2 linked regions of the Arabidopsis thaliana genome follow. The protein of the gene in region 2 interacts with the protein of the main gene of each other region in a pairwise test. Each region holds a gene or a part of one and is shown on either strand. Other genes may lie near its edges.

Region 1 (9,569 bases), on a different chromosome or scaffold from region 2:
ACCAGTTTATTGCGTCGATCAATGCATTGAAAGTGACTACATCGGGGTTCCGATTTTTTTTGTTCTTCATATGATGAAGCGGAAACAGTAATCAACCCTGGTTTAGTCACTTTCACTGCATTAATCAATGCATTTGTAAAAAGAGGGAAAAGCATTGAAATTGTGTAAGGAGATGGATATGATCCGATTGTTTTTATCTGTTGTTTATCAATTTACTATTATTCACTGATCGATTTGATTTAATTAGATTTCGCATGATGTGTTTTTGTTTTGTTCAATTGTTATTTTTCAGATGCGAGAAAGTTTTTAAAAGGATAAAGTTCACTTGAAACAAATAACAAAAAGTAAAAAAAAAGACATAACCAAGAAAAATGATTAGGAGGAGGTTTGTATACAGGTCAACTAGAGTTGATTATATTTGTGTGAAGTAGTCTATGTAGTAATGTTTTAAAGGCATCAGATTTCACCTTTTTCTTGAAGTACATATTTGTTCAGTACTAATAGTACTAGAAAAAGTTTGTCACCTGTTTTTGTATAAAAATGTATTTGTTGTACTTTGTTTGAGATTGCATCATTTGAATCTATAAAGTGTAATCATGCAGTAGTTCCTTTGATCTCTCGTGTCCAAAGAATGTTATTTTTGTACATTGACGAATGGTTGTGCTACATCACAAGAGAAGAAGAAGACAACATAGTGGTAGACTGGTAGTCATTAACATAAGGAATTTAAAGGCATAACAAAAATAACCTACCAATCTCCATCCAAATGCTATGTATCATACGCCGTCTTCTTGTTATGGACCCATATTCATTTTTGAAAGGTTACTGTATTGCACAAACCACAGATGCAGCTTCTTTTATGGTCTCAATTGCATGCATTAGAGCTACAATATTCAAGTCTTTAAGTACATGACGCTCTCACTCTGATCTCTGATCCATAAACATCAAACTAAATTGAGTAGGCACAAATTCACCCTTCTTAGGAACATAATGGTAATGTATACCTTTGATTTTAATCTCTCTAATATCATTACTTTGCAGATCACAACAAAGAATGTACAACATATCAAACAAATAATCTGGTGTCATTATAACCTTGCCACTTTGAGTTATACCTTTTAACTCCAATCCAATCTAACGTTCTTGACCAAATGCAGCGGACAAGGTTGCAAAACCAGAGTTTTCGCCAACCACTCCTTTGTCCTGACATCTTCTAGAACCCATAAATTCACTGTACTCTTGTCTTCAAGATCGGTATGGTAAAAAACAGTTACTTTTCCGCCATATTCTATAAGACACACCTTCTTGATGGCTCTATGCAGGCTCACATCTTCTTCCCTGTGAGGTACTCGATCATTTTGAATTCTTCATATCCGATGTCGAAGCTCACAACCATATAATTAGACGAATCAATCCAAGCCAGGTAATGTATAACCCCATTCAATGATAGTCCTTGTCTAAGAGGAAGGTGAGGATAAAAGTCCACGGGAGGCAAAGTCACCTTTTTCCACGAACCTCCAGGTTTTAGGTCAAAGACCCAATGGTCTGATGATAAAATAAAATATCCGACGACAACTGAGCAGAGTAACTTTGTACTGTTCGTTAATAGGGTAATGTCCAAAATAGTAACACCACTTCGACCTTTCTGGAGCCGAGGTTTTGGTTTTTAATTTTATGGTGGGCAAGGTCACAAGTTGTCTGGTGGTAGGGTTATACATTCGCGGTTTTTTCAAAAATGTGTAGCAGATGAAGCCACTAAGTTTTTGTAAGATCTTGCCTCCCCTATCTCGGATGGTCAACAACAAAGGAGGAAGATGGACTAGTAGCGGATGGAGCTAATGATAGGATTTTAGAGGGACGGTAGTCCTCGAAATGTGATACACAAATGTAAATTCGTTGAGATGGGACCTTAATGAAACGACTGGTAAAGTATGGACTATGGAGAGCGTATGATAGATGACCAGAGCTTTGAGACGCACTTGAATCCATTAGGGTTTTAACAGGGAATCTCGTAAGAATCTCTGTCACCACATCCGTTGGAATCTCCAGTAGTGCTTGGCTTCGTCTTCTTTTCTTCTTTCTCCACTGTTGGATCACTGTTAGACGAAAAGACAAACCCATCTCAATCCCCACCCGAGTTTGAAGACAGAGTCGTTCAGTCTTGGGGAGAAAGAAATCGCGGTGATCTCTAGGGTTTTGAAGATTGATACGAATTTTGTAATTCCTCTTTAGAAACGGCGCCGGTTTAAGTGATAGTATTTTCATATGACTTACGTAACAAAACTCTTCAACATTGTCGTCCAAGAACTCCAAGTTCGTTAATTTCAAATCAAGATCAGAAGACCTCACAATAAAAAAGTTCATACAAAAATAAATAAATTGTTAAGTTCGTGTTCCCAAAGAATGTTTCATATACATTGACAACCTGTTGTGCACCCCCCTTCACCATATCTAAGAGAGAAACACAAAACAAAACACACTTACTGATCCATGTAAACGGAAATTAAAGACAAAACAATCATAGAGGAAACTTACCAATCTCTCCATCCAAACGCTATTATCATCGCCGCCTTCTTGTTATCGGTCCAATGTATTAGTTGAAAGTTAGTGTCATTGCTGGTCCTCGGTCTTGAGTGATACCATTTCGCTTCGCTGTTGTTGTTGCTGATGTAGAATCAGATGGTTTTTTGGTCTGAAATTGCTTGGAAGCCATCGATATAGCCGTTCTGGCAAGAATCTAGCAGACCAAGGGTTTCATAAAAATCAAGCTTCATTGATTATTGGGAATAATATAGCAAACCAAAGAGATCGGTGGTGACTTACAGCTCCAGTCTCTCATGGATTGCTCGACGCACTGAGCTGTTGAAACCATAGGCTATTGAATTGAACAAGCCCTGAAAATACAACATTCAGAACATCGACTCGGGAAGAGCAAAGATGATCTATGGCGAATTTTATAACTTATTTATTTGATAGGTTTGCTACCATTAGTGCAGCTGTCCCAACGTCAAGAACTGAGAGCCAGAAGATCTTATGCCCTGGCTCGATGAAATCATGGATACGGTTAATAGTGCCGAATGCCCATGATCCTATTAGAATGAGTGGATAGTATCCCCATCTGTTCAACACCTGTGGTTTCAGGAAACAAGCAGTGAGGTTTTAATGATGAAATCCAGCCACATGATACAGAACTAGTATTGGCAATAAAGACAGACCTTTAACTCTGCTCTATTATCAAATTGATCGACTCGGTCTGACATTCCAACTGCCATCTGAAATTAACATTGCCATTTCAGCACACAGCCAAGTGTATCAGTAACGTTTGTGAACTACTTTCAGAAGACAATGTTATTAGAGATGAGAGAGTTACATACACGTCTAGCATTTCTTAGCATCCGTATCACTTGGAAGTAAGTAAACCCATTGTAAAGAATGGCTCCCCAAAGAGGAGCGTAGAAAGTTAAAAAATGAACAGCCTGCAAAATTCAAGAGGTGATATGAGTTCCAGTAACGAAGAATAAAATACTAGTCTACATTCATCTGGCCCAGCGTTGCAACAAAAAAGTTCAAATGCCTTTTGATAGGCATTGAAATCTTTATGCTCAACTAAGCATTCTCACTTGCCTTTCCCTTAAGACCAGTTTGCGTCCAGCACCATGGCCCCAAATGTGAGTGGTTGTTACCAAAAGAACGTATGACAGTCACAACCAAGGAAGTCCCTGAGAAAAGTAACTAAAATCAGAGTCTTACTAAATCACCAAAGAAGATACTAACACATTCTAATCCTTAACCCTAGGTGGATATAGTAACAATTGAGAACCGAAACCCACGAGTATCATTTTACATACCCCATACATACAAATGAAACATTGCTTCCAAATCCTCCACATCAGTTTTATGCTTGACAACAGTACGATGAAGAGTGAAAGCAATTGTAGTTGTCCACAAGAACGAAGCAACGCAGAAGAAATGAGTAGTGTAGCCTTGTGCGTAACAAATGAACCCCTTTGAAGGATCCCTACAGTGATCAAGATGTAACAATCATCTTATCAAAATAATCTCAACAAGATTCACCAGAACCAATAGTAGTAGATAAACATACCCAACGATTAGGAAGAAACTGCAAAGCATATCCTGCAACAATTAAAAACATTGCCATTAGTCAGCAATAGAGCTCGAACCCTCACTACTCATCTCAGAACGCAATGGAACTTAACGTCTTAGCGATGTAACAATTCACAGTGAGAATAATCGAAGAAGAAGGAAGCAAAACAGTACATAATCCTAGATCTAGCACAATCAGCGAAAGGCAACAACGGGAAACTTACAGAGAGAGCAAGGTAGAAGACGAGCTTGAAAGAGAATTTTCGAAGTTCTTTGAAGAGGCAGTAGCAGAGAACGATGAAGGCTGAGCCGACGAATGAGAGACTCGAAGCGCCGGTGTTAATCGCCGTAATAATGCTGCGATCCCCGGCAGTTAAGCCTCCGCCGGCTGTGAGAACCGCCGACATTGTTATATGTGATTCCAAAACTGATCTGAGAGATTGAATTGACGATTTCCGCTGTTCGTGTTCGTCGTTTCCGTCGCGTGGTATCTTCCCCGACGGACGTTGCGTGGTGGGCTAACCTCTTACCCGGGTCGGATCGGTCGGGTCAAGTCGTGTCTTTTGAACCGGACTCCTCGTAGTGCACTTCTTTAGGCCCAGCCCAATGATTTTGTTAAGCATTAATTCATATATGCTATATTAATTATTAAAAACATTTATATGATGTTATTTACATGTCAAGTTATCACATATTTTTGGAAAATTTTAATTTTATACATGTATGAATATTTAAATTATACTAGGTAATAACTTATGTTATGCACATGTAAATATTATACTATTTAATTTTATAATTAATCTTATTTATAGTATACTCTATATAAAAATAAATATATATATATATATATATATATATAATATTATAACAAATTATGTATACTATTGTTTTTAAATAAATTATCTACACGACTATACTATCAATCACCGAGCACAAAAATACCTAGGCATGGCCTTCTGACCCGTTTTGCCCCTTTCAAGTAAATGAATTTTGGACTTGTTATAACATATAAAATATGATTATTTGCTAAATAACTTGATTTGGCTTATTACTTGCTAAATAATTTGATATTGCTTGTTACTTGTAAAATAATTGCAACTTGAATCGAAAAAAAATCTCATATACAATAGAAATTACAAAACATTCAAAGTTTCAAGCATCCTAAGCACAAAACATTCAAATAAAAATAAGTTATATATAAGCAAGTAATATATATAACAAGCTTGTACTTGCAAGTCATAAATTTATACTATTTATTAGCTGATTATTAACGACAATTATTTGTTTTTCAAAACGAATATAAAACACGTACGTAAGAACTAATAATAAGCAAATAACGAGCATTGGCTAGGTTGTCAGAATGTTGAATAGAGGCGGCGAATAAGTCTAAGTGGCATTGCTATCTTGTTGAGTTAGTATAGAAGTCCACGATTGCTTTTACGTTTTTGCGTTAGTTCTCAGAGAAGTTGTAGACTTCTATCTTGAAGTTTTGTGGACGGATCTTGGATAGTTTTGCTCGTGGCAATTAAGATGATGATTCCAGTTCTTCGGTTTTGTGGCAACCACACAATTTTCTGAGCTTCGCGGGTTCGGAATCGGTGTTTCTTTTTGCAATTTGGCTTTGACCACTTAGTAGTGATCCTTTGCATCTTGAGTTGTAATGTTGTTTTTATATTTACGTAGATTGCTTTAATCTGTTTCTAGTTTTCTCTGTAATTCTATCACAAACTAAAAATAGTATAAAATTTCACCTTTTACCAAAAAAAATAACAAGTATTAGTACCCTAATTTACGATAGTTAATGGCTGTAAGGCTAAAACTACCAAGCGGAGAAGACCATAAAAATTATAAAACATAAAAATATAATATAATTAGGTTAATGATGGAGACATTCTTCCACACATTGACACATATTGCTTCTCGTGTCCTCACTCTTTGTATATATAAGTTCATGGATCTCCCTGATTATTATTTATGTATTGCTTTTGGTCGTAAACCCCGTGGCTAGACTTATCACAATTCGTAATATAATTTACGTATACATGTTATAATGACTGTTTATTATATATATTAAATGATTTTCGTGTGCTAATTTACCCAATGACATATCATCTACTAAATGGCAACAAACGTACAAAAACCAAACAGACGAATTTTGTCAATCCACACAAAATTACATAAATTTAATTAGTACAGCAATTACGAATTATCTTCATACATTGAAATTTTATGATGGCTTGTCTAAACATGTTAGTTACGTTGCAATATTATCCCGACCCGCTCAGACTGAGAATTACATAATAGCCTTTCTATAGTCAAATACAAATAGTTCATACACGAGGTGATTGTTAGTAATACATTATTGTGAAGTACTGAAATTTTTTAGCTAATATTACTTACAAAATTCCTGGATTAATTCATTATCATGTCCGAATATATTCTAAAAAAAAACTTCTTGATGACTTAATTAACAACGGATCAAAAAATTTATTCGTTAAACCATAAAATAAAAAAAATGGCAAATATATAAATAAACATTTACTATGAGTCTATGACATACTAAATCATTGATATTGGCATAAATAACTCTGGAAATGTTTACTTCAATTGAGAGGTATACGGAAAAATACTCTTCCTCTAGGAACATGACCCATCATCTAATCCAATTTTCTAATTTGGATAATTTATAACACATGTCATTATCCTTTCGGTTTTATTCGATCTTTAGTTATAGTTTGCATACAAAAAGGGTACACCTGATTTTGTCCGTATTAAACTATTGTTTCATTCGTACTCCATTTATGAAATAGATCTCCATTTATGAAATAGACGTCTACATATGACTTACATATACATGATTTTTTTTTTGTTTCTTTCGTTTTCCTTATACTTTAATTATTAAACAATATTTTTCTTCCGGTTTCCCCAAGTTTTTAACCCTTCCAAGACATCTCTCGTACCATTAAGCTTATATTATTATTTTTTATAAGAAATTCCATATAAGAAACCTATTCATTTTCATTCCTGCAGAGATATAAAGAACTCACATAGTCACATATGAATATAATATCATCATATAAGAGCTGCATGTGTAATCAGCGAGCATCATCCTCATCATTAATGAGAATGTAAAGAGCTTTTTTTTTGGGGAAGACGACTATCACCAGTATTCATCTTCCTTCTTCCAGAGTTTCATCTCCAAGGTACTATTTCTCTTTAATGCCTTAAGTGATATGTATCCTTCATCTGCCTCTCCATATCTCTTTTTGAAAATTAAGGAGAATAAACAGCGATTTCATTGATCTTTGGTCAATGTCTTTGTTGGATATATGGGTTTTAGTTTCTATTATATACAAACCCTAAACTCTTTTTGTTTCACTAAACCACAGTTATCAATTTATCATCTGCGACCAAACTTGAATATATAGAAATCTCATGTTGTAGTTTTACCTATACTACATTGTGTTTCATTTTTTTTCTTTAATTACCCACTAATCTACAAATACGGAAGTTCTTTCGCACAACACACGCAAATTAATCTTAACGATTCTTACTTGAGAGCTTTACATGGTATATCATTTACGTATATCTATCTATCCTATTTTGAAATAACCATGTTATATATAGTACGTACTTATGATATCTTTTCTACACTAATGTAATATATACAATATACTTTGCTACGTTTCGGAATCAGGTTCGGAATTAACATTTATTTGTGTTCATATTTAATTCGATGATCAAGTATTATGTATATGTCTTACTAAAACACAATATTTTAGTTTGTTTATTTATTTTATATAACTCTTTACTTCTTCTGCGTTTTCCTTAAAGATTACTTCATAAATTAAATATTATATCTTAAGAAAATTTTGAGGACATACTATATTTAATCATTAAACACAAACATATATAAACTTGTTTTTGCCAACCACACATCCATTTTAAAACAAACTCTATGATTGGTAACAGTCCGGAAAAACAAAATTTACATCGGAAACAATACATCAAGATATCTTATTATATAGTTAGATGTTTAACAATATGCCTTAACATTAAAGAACATAATCATATTTACAAATTTGGTTAAATATATGTTAACCTCCATTCTTCACTTTCAATTTTGATTATATAATCCTTTTTTTTTTATCATATGTAGTTATGATATTCTCGTTTTCATCATATGGGAGTTATGATTTCCTATCTAATTAAGGCTTTTCCTTGCCTTTTAATTTTCTTTCCCGTATAGAACCCAATAAAATTGCAGATAGTTGCAAGTAGATTTACCTAGCAAGGCACAACTTCATAGCCCAATAATTGCCTTACGGACCAAATAATTTCTATATCATTATATGATCAAATTATGATCAAAGTCTCCAAAATGCTCAAATAAGTCAATAACTTAACTTGTAAACCAATGGTCACTAACAGCTTTGAGTTTGAGTATGATTAGGACATACTCCTCAGTCCTCAATCTTCCCTTTTGTCTTAAACATGTTTTTCAAGCTTTTCTAATTAAATTCATCCCCCACATACATATAAATAAGCTATTCTTCTTTTTACTTAATTTTAGTCATTCTTAATAACCATACAAACTTTTATTCCAAACATAATGGTCCCATCATAAACGTCAAATGCTCTTTGTTCCATTTGCAGCTCAACGTGAGACAAATTATTAGTGGGTCACTCTCGCTTAACTGATTCTTTAATATGCACAATAATCTGGTTTTCATTGTTTCAACTATTATGAGTATAAGCATTATATCGTTTAGGTTCATACCCTCCTCAATGATCTTGTAATGTTATAAATTTTGTATAAACCTTTATAGTTAGGTAAGTCATTTTATAATTTAAGGTAACACATTGTAAATTTTAAAGGAAAATCAAACACATATTCATAGCCATAACTTTGTTTGGTTGCAAACTTGCAATTACACGCATACACCTATAAGCTATATCGATACACGACACTTTTCTCTACTTTTTAAGTGTTAGGTTTCTGATGGCGCGTGGACAGGACGCGTCGTCATCTGAAAAACAAATGACAAAAAACAAAATTGGCCCACCACTAAATTCTTTTGTCTTATTCTCAAAGTCGTCAAAACATTTGGTGGGCCTCAAGCCCACTGTTTCCTCCAAACGGATCATTCCTTCATTATTTGCTTGATTAATAATTTATTAACGTTTAATGAACTAAGATTATTGAACTAAGATTAGTTGCATAAGATTATTGAACTAATGATTGGTGATTAATAATATTGTTGTTGTTTTCTTCTGCGACAGCTTCGAAGTCGTCTCTTGGATTTTTACAAGTCAAAAGCTGAGTAAGACGTTAACCACGAGTCTTCTCGCCGGCGACCGTCGTCAACGGCGGAGATTTTGTTAGTTATGTCCCGCATTTCCACCACCTCCACTACTCCTTCACGCGTGAGAGCTGCGAATTCGCACTACTCAGTGATCTCTAA
Region 2 (8,054 bases):
AAAAAAAATTATAAAGACAAAGTAAACTTAACTCTCAAATATAAAAGTCCGACCAAATTGATGGAGAAAGCCGGCCAAAGTCTTCAAATTTCGACGGCATCACGATCAACTCATGATTCTCCAAGATACGAAGCCCATATGAAATGTGTCTAAGTTATAATAAAATTTCAGACTCTTTTGGACGGCCTAGTGTACTTTAGACATTGGCCCAATCAGTACGGAACAAAAACTTGAAGACAACAAACTTCAAATCAAACTTATATATAATTTGTTGAAACATTACCATGAACTGGTAGCGAGAGAAGATTGGGCCTATGTCTAAACTTATAATTTGTTGAAACTTCAAACTACTACGCCGACTAGTCACTATCTAATAGAAACATTACCATGAACTGGTATAGCGAGAAAAGAGCAAGATCACATGAGCAAATTTTTTGGAAATTGTCCGAGAATCAACCTTGTGTTCCAAACGATATTTAATAGAATACATTCAAAGTTATTTGTGCAATGAGAAATAGCTTATGTTGTGTACTCTTTATTTCCTATGCCATTGTTAAATTACTTAACGTGAGACCTCAGCTTATTTAATCAACTTTGTTTTAGTGTTAAGTGGTTGACATCGGACGTTAGTGTTCTATGTTTCATATTTGGAATTACTTTTGAGTATTTTTAGAGATTTTAATCTAATATCAACCATTCCAAGCAAATTTGATTTTTCGTGTGTTGACAAATAAAGAACCCACTAACTACTTGATAAGTTTTGATAACTTTATTTATATCTCTTTTACTTTTAATTTTTCCGCAGTTACAATTAAATTATAATAGACTAAACGATGCTATATGCTCACGACGACTTAAACAACTAAACAAGTACCAAATAATCTCTTTTACATATAAGCAGATTTTATTCTTTTACATACAATAGTTAGTCATGCATAACGTGCTTGCATTAGTAACTCTTGTACTCTGCTTAATATTTTTTGTGACCTATCGCGTGATTCGTATCTATTTCGAATCCCTTTTTCTATATTGTACGAGAAAACATTAACTTGAAGAAATTAAAGTACTCTTTAGACATCTTTAGAGTATGTTTTTATCCCGTCATAAGTTTTAGATTTTACGGTATGTTTTTATACATAATTAACAGAAGAATTATAGAATAATAATATTTGATTCTAGGAAATCGCATCAAATATATTGACATGCGTAGTGTATCTCTCGTCATATTTGTCTGTTGACCGGCAGACTTTTAGATTTCTATTTCTCTTTATTGCTTTCGTGAGGTTGAATCTCAAGCCCATTACGCTCCACAATTCCATGTTTTTATAACCTAAAGAATGCAAAAGACATATATACAAGTTCCATGTTTTTGTGGGTAACTATATTATCTATTTATCTTTATCCTGAAGCTGATGATGAATCGATTAATAACACATATCCAAGTTTAAAGTCTAGCAACAACACAATTAACATGTCACGTCGTATAATTCAAATAGATTTCCCTTACATGTGAATGATTTTAGTTTTGTACATTGCAATGATTTAAGCAAAAGAAAATCGTTGTTGTTTGAAATTTATAAAGATTTCAAATCAATATAATAACAAAAAATGTAATCTTTATGCCTTTTTCGACCCACGTGGGTTGATACCATAAAGGATAACCAAACCGGCCTTCTATATCATAAAGTAAGCCTCAAGGGACATCTTTAGAGGCAAATGTTGAATATAAAAGATTTTATTCACCTAACTAACAAATACCTTATTAACTAACACAAAAATCCACACGCTTTGCTATGACATGACACGAATTATAGAGGTTTAGAAAGTGTATGCAAAGTTGTGAAAATTACGTTTTTTTCCTTTAACAACGAATTAACAGAAAAATATTCACAACCATTATAAAAATAGTATTTAAGCACAATTAGGTATGTTCGATCTGATTTTATTTGTTTTTGGTTCAGTTTTTTTCAGTTTATAAAATTAAGAAACTGAATATCAAATGTATAGATTTGTCATCAAACATAGGTATTAATGTTTTATATCATGAATTGAAACTTTTATAGAAACCTCCCATGTTTAGAAAAAAAAAGAAAAAAATTCAAATGAAGTACATCACATATTGAGAAATTGTACAGACCACCACAGAGAAAGAGAGTTTGGTAGTCATCATTATTTTTAGACAATTAGATTATATTGTTGAAATTAGAGTTGTTCTTGACAATAATTATGTAATAGACTAAAAACCAATAATAAAGATATTTGACTCCTATATTTAAACAAAACCATGTTAAAAATGGACAAGGATGGGAAGTCCTATAATGGTTATCAAATTCGGAGAAAGAAGATAATCTTCCAGAACCATGCACTGGAAAATTAGTTGATGTTTTGTAACTTTTATTCCTTATTTTTGGAGAATTGCACGACATAATCTAAAAACTAGTATAATCAAGGTAATAAATCATCGAGCTTTCAGTTATGAAAAAGATGAACTACTATAAAACAGAATTTTTAAAACTGATCCACAAAGTTTCACAAAATATATTTTTGTTGACTAGAAAAATTTAGGGTTTTTAAGTCCCTAATCTCCTCAAATTCGGGAATAACCGTTAGTAATACTTTTTGAAGGTATAAATCTTCATCCCCAAAGATTTGGACTAGGGTGAAAGTTCAATTTTCATCACAGAAAGATCGGGTCATTTTGCCACTAATCTACCACACATTTGATAACTAAAGAAGTAAAAAAGAATTTACACCCTAATTCCCTTTATTTCTTTAGCTTTATAACATATGATAATTTTGTTTAATAATAATTTATCAATATGTGTACCAAACCTCATTTTCTATAAATATAAGCCAGCACATCTCTCTTCTTCTTACAAGCAAAAAAGAAAGAAATTAAAGAGAGAGAGAAAGATAATGGGAAAGTTAATGGCAAAGAGGTTTTGCATTGGGTTTGGGTGTGGAAGAATTGGGACGGGCAACAATAAAAGATCATCATCTTCTTCTTCTTCTTCATCGTCATTTTCATCATTATCATCATCATCTTCTTCTTCATCGTCATCATGTAACAATAACAACATAAAATGGGAGATGAGGCCTGGAGGGATGCTGGTTCAGAAGAGATCAGAAGATTCTAACACTGAAGATTTAATCAGCCTTAGAGTCTCCACTGTCTCTCAGCTTTCATATGAAATCTCCATTGATGCCAACTCTACTTTCGGTAATTACGTATCCTCTTTTAACATGAAAACCAAAACAAATTTACGTCTCTTCTTCATATATATATTATATAGTTGACAAAGATTTTGTTGTATAATAGGTGTATAAGAATATGATTGTTTTGTTGTTTACAAAAATAAAAGTATACATATATATAACTTAAAAAAAAATTTGTTTGTTGAAAACAGCTTTCAAAAAATCGTATACTTACTCAGTATTGTTTTGGTAAAGCTGGCTTTAAAAATTTTGATATATAAATCGTCCTTATAGATACTATCACCGGTCAAAGAGTGCCAATATATAATACTATTGATTAACTCATCAAGATTTATGCATGCAAGTATGCAACTATAAAGGGTGATCTATATATACTGTGGCAATTAAATATAACGCGTTTGATATTTATTCGAGTAACTGGTTGGTTAATTACAGGACAACTAACTATATTTACATTTAAAATATGGTTAGAGCATCTTTTGATACAAAATGATCTCTTATTATATAATTTCTCATTTGATATATATTTTTCAGGTGAATTGAAGATGATGATAGCAATAGTGAGTGGAATTGAGGCAAAAGAGCAAAGACTCTTGTTCAGAGGAAAGGAAAGAGAAGACAGAGAATACTTACACATGATTGGTGTTGGAGATGGAGATAAGGTCTTTTTATTACAAGATCCTGCTTTTAAGGAGTTGAAACATATTCATCTCCCAATTACTGTCTAACTAATTCCTTACTTTATTAATTGATTAATCAATCGATTAATTAGCTCTAATCCCCACTTATTAAACACTCTCTTTTATAAGTGCTATAAGTTCTTGATTTTGCAGGAGTAGTATATGCTTGTTATTTCGCTGTATCGTCTCCCATTTGATAATCTTTGAGTTGAGTGATTGATTGTATTTTGCTAAATTGCTAGTCCTATTGATTAAAGTTGGAAGATTGAATTTTCTGAGTGTAACATTGTATGCTATGATTTTAATGTCAATAGAGTTATGCGTGGTATGTAATACTAAGTCTTAACAAAAAATGTTTTTACTGATTTATAATTATCAATATGAATAAACATGTATTAGGAGATTATCTACGGATCCGATTTGAATCAACGGGTCTAAGAACAAGCCTGTATGAAATGTTTTGTTATTGCTATAATAAATTAAGGTTTAAAAAGTAGTTACAAAATAACGAATGGTTAGCTATGAAAATAACTAAATAAGTAACTAAATTTAGAGTTCGAAGTTTACATCTCTACCAAATAAATTTCATCCGCTATTGATAGATTATTATGTATGCTAACAGCTGTTTGCATGATTTGTCAAATGTTAAAAAATTAAAATTATATTGTAAAAAAGGATACAATAGATTAGAAAAAAAAACACAAGCCATGTGTTAAATTAGTTTTAGGTATAACTAGTTGTAGATTAGACTAGAAGTATGGTTAATTAGCTTTTAGAACTAATTAATAACTTTGTATGTGTTACAATCATTTGCCTTCTTTTTCATTATATTATGGTGAAAAGTTAACGTTAATATATATTATATCGCACGCGTGCAAGCCGACAACACAAAAGCAAGTGGTTTAAAAGCAATGGTGAAGTACAAAAAAGACAATAATAAATATAATTTAAATGCTCTTTATTTGTTAAGAGAAATAAAAAAGAACTAATTGAAAAGTTGGAGGGTAAAAGAATTTATTGGGAAAAAGGCTTATAGAATTTTCTTAAGAGTGTGATCGACTACATAATAAGTTCGTTATAACTTATAACACCTAGTTTGGTAGTTCAACTCACATTGTAAACGATTTTTTTTAGTTTTTATGAACAAATACTAAACTATTTGTGGTCCAAATGGTGATCTTAAAATGGATGACGAGTGTGTACTACTAAGCAAATCAAAAACTATATATATGAGTTTAAAATAAATAAAAATAATGAGTTGTAATAAGCAAATCAAAACAAATAATGTGTTTAGAGTAAAATAAACAGAATAAACTATGTGAAACGAGCATAGCAAAATATGATCATAATAATTTTTATTTTATTTTTTTCAAAGTAATCATAATAATTGCTGTATGATCTAATAATGATCAAATTCTAAAGTATTTTTTTTTATAGCATTTCATAATATCAAAATGATATGATTCAGATTACTCTATTTAATTAAGTTCACAATATAGTTGACAGTATTGAAAAAGATTTCTGCAAGTGTAAATCGATTTTGATTTTAGGCCACTGAAAGGACAGATTTCCATTTATCTAACAAATGGTAAGTTTTTGATTTTGAACTAACCAACTCGATATGAAAAAAAAAACAGTTCTACCGTGCTGCAAGCCGTATCATACATATGTAGTTATTCCAAAACGTTTATTGGATCTTAGATTGATGCCACAAAAAAAATCCATTAAATTTACGTTGCATGTGTACAATTAATTAATGGATTATGAGCCAAAACAACATCGTTTTATTAACCCTCAAAATAAAAACAATCCAGCAGCAACGACAAAGACGACGAAAGAGGAAGAATAAGAAGAAGAAGCTGAGTCCTTAGGCTGATTTGCTTTCTTATCTGATTTACCTTCAGGTTGTGCAAACTCATCAGCTTCTTTATCTTCTTCTTCGACAAGTGGCAAGTCATCTTGCACGACTTTGACTCCATCAGGTGCTAGATTCATAGGGACTTCGTAATCAGAGTAATCTGCAGGAACGACCGTTGCGTTAACCGTGGAGATGAAGGGGGTCTCCGGAAAAAAAAAGTTTGTGCTATTTGACGGTGGAGAAGGTGCAGATGAATTGGCGGCATAAGCTCCACCGGCTAGAGCAAGACCTATGAAAAGAATTACGAAAGAGAAATGTTGTCGAGACATATAAATTTTTATGTATAGATTGATCCTTTTTCGATTCAATATCGGCTTTTAACGCGAAATGGTATAAATGTAGAGAAATCAATGAAGAAAATTGAAGAGTATGAATAAAAAGGAAAAAGGGAGATAAATAGGGGATTTAAAGCTATTAATTATGAGATGGATATGTTTGGTAATTTAAAACAGGTGTTAATTTAGACTCTAAACTTTAGAGTTTATGTGTGTTTTCCGTTGTGAATTAGCCAAAATTGAATCATACAGGCTGTGTTTTTCCACAGTTTTTAGAATATGGTTTCATATTTTTTTTAGCGTTTGTGGTTGCTTTTCGTTAAAGTGATAACTTTGAACTGTGCATGGGTTGTTATTAATTAGAGCAATACGTCAAACGGATTTGATAACACTATATATATATAAAAAAATCTAAAGATTGAAACTGATGGATCATAACACAAATATAATAATCTAATTAATTATAAGATAAAAGTTTCAATTGATAACAGTACATAATCGGTTTTGTTTCTAGTTTTGTGGTTTCTGTATATATCCATGGAGAGATTATGAACTTGTAAGGTATGTAATGAATATATTTTCATGTCTTGAATTTACCAAACCATACATTATATTATATAGTTTAGAAGACGAAAACTATGTCGTGAATTCGTGATACGTGGACTTCGAGCCATTTAAAAAAATATGTCGTGTACTCACTCGCTTTTCGGATCAAACCAACGCAAATCGTACGCCACTAACTAACGATAAAAGCTCACATAGATTGCTATATGACGCACAAAACAAATAGTGATAAGTCAAATCTATATATACATTTTCGATGAAGTACGTAAACATAATTACACTATCTAATTAACCAAACACATACTCTAATTTTTTTTCCTACGGAGCTTGTTGCGCCTAATCTAATCCAAAAGTGGTTCATGTGAAAAGTTACAAGTAGACGAACAAGCTACCGCATGACTCGGTTACTCAGTATCCGAACTCGGTCAAAAATAGACATTTTATTTACACTTTTCACGGTTAAGATACATTCTAAAGCATACTTGGTCTAAAACTTTCTAAACATATCAAACTCCTCAAAACTTTTGTATATCATTTTTTTTCCCTTCCAACTTTTGTATATCATATGTAGGTGTTTTCTAACCTATACATTTTCCAAGCTCACTATGAATTGAATGTTAGAAAGACTTGGAAAGGCACTAGTGACTAGACTAGTATTCAGTGGCGGAGTGAGAACAAATTTTCTTTTTATTGTGATCAATATTACAATAAACAAAAATGACAATATCTTAGTGATTTTGATATGTTGAGTGATTTAGACTGTTTTTCTCTCATAACCGTCGTATTCCTACTTATACCCAAATTTAAGTTTTTTTTTTTGTTTTGTCATCCGCTTTTAATTAAATCCAAATTTAAGTTTGGTAAAACAAACTTATAGAAAAAATGTTAAGTGTTCTCGAAATTTGAATCCCATGTATGCAAACAATTCATGTAATTATCATTTGGAACTAAGAATTTTACGTTACAATAACATATGGAAAATTCAATAGAAAAACAAATATTATGTAATTATGCATCTCGTTTTTTTTTGTTTTTTTTTTTACCCATCATACATCTCGATTTATGAAGTTTACGTTACACTAATTTATAGAAACCTCAATATAAAAATAAATACGCTAACACAATTATCAATCTAGAAATATAATTGTTTTTGGTCGGAATTTAGGAACATAATTAATTCATATTTGTTTTTAACAAAAATAAAATAAAAACTAATGATTTTTTAAAGATAATAATAACAGAAGTAAAAAAAAAAAGAAAAAAAAAGGAGAGGATTAGGAAGAGAGGAGGAAACATAGAGCAAATCGCCAAGATCCAACCATCGAAACATGGCGGCTTATAGAGAATTGAAGACACTGCTACTGTTACTTCCACGTAAACGTTTCTCTCTCTCTCTCAACG

The links.
Region 1: the proteins of AT5G40620 (region 2) and GCR1 interact in a protein complementation assay, tested with the Arabidopsis thaliana proteins (one large-scale study listed by BioGRID).

Annotation. Positions count from the first base shown.
Region 1 is NC_003070.9:17,825,704-17,835,272, forward strand, and holds GCR1 (G-protein-coupled receptor 1), read right to left. Parts: upstream 4,718-9,569; 5' UTR 4,512-4,717; coding exon 4,329-4,511; intron 4,135-4,328; coding exon 4,103-4,134; intron 4,019-4,102; coding exon 3,849-4,018; intron 3,720-3,848; coding exon 3,625-3,719; intron 3,477-3,624; coding exon 3,375-3,476; intron 3,273-3,374; coding exon 3,216-3,272; intron 3,130-3,215; coding exon 2,986-3,129; intron 2,895-2,985; coding exon 2,824-2,894; intron 2,738-2,823; coding exon 2,611-2,737; 3' UTR 2,536-2,610; exon of another isoform or gene 2,452-2,535; 3' UTR 2,250-2,451; downstream 1-2,249. Other genes in the region: AT1G48280 (hydroxyproline-rich glycoprotein family protein), read left to right, coding at 9,493-9,569. UniProt on the Arabidopsis thaliana protein: Together with GPA1, may regulate the cell cycle via a signaling cascade that uses phosphatidylinositol-specific phospholipase C (PI-PLC) as an effector and inositol 1,4,5-trisphosphate(IP(3)) as a second messenger.
Region 2 is NC_003076.8:16,267,292-16,275,345, reverse strand, and holds AT5G40620 (uncharacterized protein), read right to left. Parts: upstream 6,190-8,054; 5' UTR 6,084-6,189; coding exon 5,691-6,083; 3' UTR 5,513-5,690; downstream 1-5,512. Other genes in the region: AT5G40630 (Ubiquitin-like superfamily protein), read left to right, coding at 2,917-3,220, 3,751-3,944.